2 linked regions of the Callithrix jacchus genome follow. The protein of the gene in region 1 binds, or shares a complex with, the protein of each later gene. Links are inferred from orthologs where the notes say so. Each region holds a gene or a part of one and is shown on either strand. Other genes may lie near its edges.

What was found. The genes of interacting proteins can lie anywhere in the genome.
Region 2: the proteins of CCKBR (region 1) and GAST are in contact, whole or in part, in a cryo-EM structure (PDB 7XOW), measured with the Homo sapiens proteins. The link is inferred for Callithrix jacchus from reciprocal best matches to the Homo sapiens genes CCKBR and GAST. Residues at the interface, in NP_795344.1 of Homo sapiens: Cys107, Pro114, Asn115, Gly118, Thr119, Phe120, Met134, Gly135, Val138, Tyr189, Gln204, Cys205, His207, Leu222, Val349, Tyr350, Ala352, Asn353, Arg356, Pro361, Ala363, His364, Leu367, Ser368, Ile372, His376, Tyr380; in NP_000796.1 of Homo sapiens: Glu85, Ala86, Tyr87, Gly88, Trp89, Met90, Asp91, Phe92.

The regions. Positions count from the first base shown.
Region 1 is NC_133511.1:71,929,686-71,933,439, reverse strand, and holds the start of CCKBR (gastrin/cholecystokinin type B receptor), read right to left. Parts: upstream 2,753-3,754; 5' UTR 2,661-2,752; coding exon 2,510-2,660; intron 1-2,509. UniProt on the Homo sapiens protein: Receptor for gastrin and cholecystokinin. The CCK-B receptors occur throughout the central nervous system where they modulate anxiety, analgesia, arousal, and neuroleptic activity.
Region 2 is NC_133506.1:91,537,512-91,539,543, forward strand, and holds GAST (gastrin), read right to left. Parts: upstream 1,177-2,032; 5' UTR 1,169-1,176; coding exon 958-1,168; intron 829-957; coding exon 725-828; 3' UTR 561-724; downstream 1-560. UniProt on the Homo sapiens protein: Gastrin stimulates the stomach mucosa to produce and secrete hydrochloric acid and the pancreas to secrete its digestive enzymes. It also stimulates smooth muscle contraction and increases blood circulation and water secretion in the stomach and intestine.

The DNA.
Region 1 (3,754 bases):
ATATCCTGGTTCGCTTCTCATAATCCCCTCTCCCACCAGCCCAATCTTCAGCCTACCATAGTTAAGCCTCAATACCTACAACTCCTATTTTCTTGTTATTGAATGTGAAGGATGCTGTTCTGACTGTGCTGTTTTTATTTATCTAATTTATGTCAATAGCATTTGACATCACTTACCCCAACATGCTTGAAACTCTCTTTTTCTTGCCTTCTGGAAGGGCATAGTTCCTGCCTTTCTGATAGTTTCATCTGAATATCCTTCATGGATTCTCCTGCTGCTGCCTGGCTTTTAAATAGCGTTCTTCTGCAGAGTCCTGACCCGGCACCTATTTTCTTCTCATTCTATATAACGTTTTATGATTTTAACTATTCTCCTGGTTTCTACCTCTTGCAGGCAAAGACCTTCTTCAAGTCTGTATTTCCACCCCAGATCTTCCCTATACGTTCTAGACCCCTGGAATCAACAGCTTACTAGGTAACATCACCGGAATGTCCCACTAACATTTAAACTTAGTGGATTCCAAGCTGAATTTATAATTCCCTCTTCCAAACCTGTTTCTGCTGTTTTGTTATTTTTCTCATTGTATACAATTGCTATAGCACCAATATCCATTCAACTGTCCAAGTTAGAAATCTGAATGTCATCCCTTGACCTCTTCCATACTCTCTGCTTCGAATCTGTTGATTCCATTTCCAGAAGAGGCTTTCAAATATATCCACTTCTCTCCATCCACATTGCCATCACCTTAGTCTCAGCTAGTACCATCTTTCCCCCAGACCAGTGTAATATTGTAACCTTCTAAAGTATCCCCCTGCCTTCCATCTCCTGTCTTCCAATCCATTCTCTACATTGTAGAACTAATCCCAGTAGTACTACTGAACCTTTTAGTAGTTCCTGTTGCCTGTAGGATAAAGTCCACATTCCATGGTCAGGTCTAGTAGGCTCTCTGCAAACCCTCTGGGCTAATCTCCACCCTGTTCATTATTCCCCTCTTAAATTATATGTTCTAGCCACTCAAAACTACGTCACAGTGGATAAAAGTGCCGTGAATTCAAACTTTGAGCTTTTCATATATCTTGTCCTTTTCCTTGGGATGCTTTCTGTCTCTCCTGCCTGTTTACTTGGTTGGCTCTCCCATATATATGTACATTATATATATTTTCCAACAGGAAGCTTAGAGTCAATCCCCCTAATCTTTTTGACTTTATATCTCATTTCCTCAAGAGGCCAACCTTAATTCTGAAGGAGGCTAGGCTGGGCTAGAGGTGCTCCTCTTGCATTCCCACTGTCTTTTTCCTATCAAGGCTCTTCTACTTCGTGCTGCAATCCCCTGCTGCTCTGTCTCACCCACTAAACTCTGAGCTCCTTGAAGCAGGGATTGTGTCAGTTTTGTTCAACTTACATTTCCACTGCCTAGCACAATCTCTGGTTCAATAAATATTGGCTGAATGACAGAATCCAAGTGTGAGTGTGTAACAACTGGGCTGAGAAAGCATCAATTATTTCGTGGGGTAAATAAATATGTGGATTACAATTTATTCCAACTTTCCCTTCTTGAGCTTAGAAAAATTTCCTTTTGCTTAACATTGTTCCTTCACCTAGAATCCCACTCCTTCCTTTTCTGTCCACTCAACTTCAGACCCTGCTTCAAGGTTCTGGCCTCTGTAAAGTTCTTCTGGTGCCCACAGTTTAGACCTTTTCATGGGACTTCCATGGTGTCTGTGATTTTTCCATTTGCTTGTTTTCCCTCTGTACTTGGCTATGAGCCATGAGGGTCTATTTTGCCCTTGTGCCCCCAGCACCTAGTCTAGGGCTGGAGAAGGAGCTTGGAAGACAGCTGGAGACATTACTTGCAGACAGAGAGAGAGAGACCACAGAGCCTTGAAAGCTCCAAGATGGGAGTCAGGGGGTTTGAGGATGAGTGAAATGGAGACAGACAGCTCTAAAGAGCATCCCCTACTGTTCAGCCTAATTCAGATTCGAGGATCTTTTTTGGGTGGCTGGGGGCTGGGCTGGGGTGTCAGATGTGACCACAATTTCGACTTCCCATTCAAGCTTTCCACAGGGCTCCCTCCCTCCGCCGGCCCCCTTCTTTCCCCAATCTTGCCTTCCTTTCTTGCTTTCCTTCTCTGTTGTGGCTTTGTGAACTAGGTGTAAAAGGAAAAGCAGATCTTCAAGGGTTGGCAAGAGGAGGTCCTCGCCTTCTGACTGGTGTCAAGGAGGGGCTGCGTGTTGGGGAGAGGGCTGTTTTGGGGTGAGCAGGAGCTCTGGGTGTAACCGGGGGACCAGGATGTGAAGGAGTTCCGACCAGGTGGTGTGAAGCTGTGATGAAGTTGTGAGCTGTGGGGGTGAAGGTGTGAGGGGGGCTGTTTGGGGGCTGAGGCAGTACTATGAGGGGCATGGTGTGGGCGTTTGAGGAGGTAGTGTGGAGCTCGTGGGGGGGGGACTTATAAGTGTTCTGGGGTACAGTGAGGAGGAGCTTGTGGAGGGGGCTGAGGGAGGCACCCACCTCTTGTCCCGGCTCCGCGAATGCGAGGGGGCTCGCAGCTGAGGTTTCCCGCACTGCTGCTGTTGAGGAGAGGCGCCCCCGGGCGGCACAGGGAAGCCCCCGGCCCGGGTCCGGTGCCCTGCACGCTCCGGTTCAGCTTTAGCAGCTCCATGGCCCCCGCCGAGCCCGGCGCCGTACTCAGCTTGGCCCGGCGGGCTCCAGCCGCGGCTCCACCGGCTCACGCTGCGATTCCGACTCAGACTCCCGCCGCCCTCCTCCCCCGCCCCCCTGCCCCGCCCGGTCCCCGCCCCCAGCCCAGGCCCCAGCCCTCCGCTCTCCCGCTGCTCTCCCCGCCTGGGTTCGCGTCCCTCCGCCAGCCTCCGTCCCACCAGGTGACTGCGCGCCCCCTCCCCGGCTAGGGAGTTCTGCCCCTCCCTGTGCGACTGTCCTGCAGGCTCGCCCCCTCCCTAGATCTCTTCCGTCTTCTCCTAGAGATTTCTCTCCTGCCCACCTCCCTTTATCACTCGCCCCCACCCCCGATTCTGGGGAATGAGAGAGGAGCAGGAGAGCGAGTGTTGGCAGCGCAGGGGGAGGCTGCGGGGAAGGGAGGGTAGGAGGCGTTGTGTAGGTAGGGACGCTGCCTGGGATTCAACATCTTTCTCTGGTGTAACAGGGAACGTGGAGGTGGCGTTGGAGACCGGGGCTGCGTGCGTCACCTGCTGAGGAGCGGATGCTTTAGTCTGCGCCTAGCGCCGCGTTTACCGTACTGTGTCGCAGTGGCCGCAGTGACCGTGACACTATTGCTACCGTAGTTTCCTGCAGCTCCTCGCTGCGGGACTGGGGTAGCTCCTGCATCTGTCTCCGCGCCCTCCACCTCCTGTCTCAGGCTCGACACTCGGGCTTCCACTCAAGGTTCCCAAGGAGCCCTCCACAGCTGAGCGGGAGTTGGGGTGGAGCCCGGGGGAAGCCTTGCCCCGAGGAAAGGGCTTCCGGGAGGAAACGTCTGACTTGGGTGTTGAGGGCAGTTGGGGTGGTGCCGAGTAAGGTGAGGATGGGATATAGTTCTAGCGCCAGCCCCGGGCAGGCAAAAGAGGAGATGGTTGGTTTTCTACACCGTCTCCAGGCAGCGCCCACGCCCACCCGACACGCGAATGCTACCTGTTTGCTTTCAGTGCAGGCAAAGCCGCCTGTGTAGGGTGTCAGGTTCCCACGAGAGGGGGCTGGAAGGAGACAGGGTCACTGGGGTGCAACGAGAACAGGGCTGAA
Region 2 (2,032 bases), on another chromosome or scaffold:
GCAGTGGCTCACTCCTGTAATCCCAGCGCTTTGGGAGGCCTGGGCAGGCAGATCACCTGAGGTCAGGTGTTTGAGACCAGCCTGGCCAACATGGTGAAACCCCATCCCCACTAAAAAATACAAAAAAAATTTAGCAGGGTGTGTTGGCAGGCAACTGTAATCCCAGCTATTTGGGAGGCTGAGGCAGGAGAATCACTTGAACCTGGGAGGCGGAGGTTGCAGGAGGCTGGGATCTCACCATTGCACTCCAGTCTGGGTAACAAGAGTGAAACTCTGTCTCAAAAAAAAAAAAGCTTACTGTGGCTCTGAACCCTACCATCTATTATTCCACTCACACCTGTGGATTCTTGTTCAGTGTGGGGCTCTAGGGAACCCAAGGAGAATCAGCCAGAGTAAGGGTCCCTGCCCCTAAGAGGCACTCAGCTCTCCTCCCTGCTGCAGCCTCACCCCCAGATGAATCCCCCTCCTCTTCCCTGCAGCACTGACACAGTCCACTGATCCACTGGAAACTAGTTTATTAATTAATTATTTTAATTTTAATTTTTTTTTAAAGACGGGGTTTCACCATGTTGGTCAGGCTGGTCTTGAACGCCTGACCTCAGGTGTTCCGCCCACCTCGGCCTCCCAGAGTGCTGGGATTACAGGCAACTAGTTTATTTTTGATTTGTTTTTCAGTGACAGGGCTGGGGTGGGGTAGGAGATGGCTGGGCTCTGCAGCTTGGTTCTAGGGTTGTTGGTTCTCGTCATTGGCACTGCGCCGGCCGAAGTCCATCCATCCATAGGCTTCTTCTTCTTCCTCCACCCATGGGCCCTTCTTCTTGGACAGGTCTGAGGAGGTGAGAGAGGTGAGAACAGGGAAAGGTGCCTACCCTCCAGGAACCAAGGTCAGGGCCAGTCTGGGCAGACCTTGGCTAAACCTGGCCGGGTGAGGCAAGCAGGGCGGTGAGCAGCTCCTACCTGCCACCAGGTGTGGGGGACCCTGGCGTCCCAGTTGCCTTCGGTGGTGAGAGGCTGGGCCCTGATCTTCCAGCCAGTGTTGCTCCAGGTCCCTGTTGGCCCCAGTACCTAAGGGTGCATGTGGCCGCTGGGTGTGGGGCTTCCAAGAAGCTTCTGAGAAGGTGGCCAGAGCCAGTGCAAAGATCAGCGCATACACACACAGTCGCTGCATCTTGTCTGCAAAGGGGAGAACGGCCCAGCTTAAGGGTGGGGCTGTCCCCACACAGGCCCAGAGGCAGGGGACTGAACCGTGTGGCTCCAGGCCTCTATCTGCTGATGAGTCTGCAATTTTTTTGAGACAGTTTCACTCTTACTGCCCAGGCTGGAGTGCAGTGGTGGGATCTCGCTCACTGCAACTTCTGCCTCCTGGGTTCAAGTGATCCTCCTGCCTCAGCCTCCCAAGTAGCTGGGACTATAGGTGCACACCACCACGCCTGGCTAATTTTTTTATTTTTAGTAGAGATGGGGTTTCACCACATTGGCTAGGCTGGTATTGAAGTCCTGACCTCAAGTGATCCGCCCTCCTCAGTCTCCAGAATAGCTGGGACTACAGGCTTCTGCCACCACGTCCAGCTAATTTTATTGTATTTTTTGTAGAAACGGGGTTTCACCATGTTTCCCAAGCTGGTCTTGAACTCTTGGGCTCAAGCGATCCTCCCCTCAGCCTCCCAAAGTGCTGGGATTACAGATGTGAGCCACTGTGCTCTGCCCAAGACTTGTTATTTAAAGTGAACTTTTTAGGCCAGGCATGGTAATCCCAGCACTTTGGGAAGCTGAGGAGGGTGGATCAATTGTGCCCACGAGTTTGAGACCAGCCTGGGCAACATAGCAAAAGCCCATCTCTACAAAAAATACAAAAATTATCCGGGCGTGGTGGCATGTACCTGTATTCCCAGCTTAAGAGGCTGAGGTGGAAGGATCGCTTGAGCCGGGGAGGCGAGGTTGCAGTGAGCCAAGATTGCCCCATTGTACTCCAGCCTGGGCAACAGAGTGAGACCCTGTCTCAAAAAACCAAAACAAAAAGTTAAACTTTTAA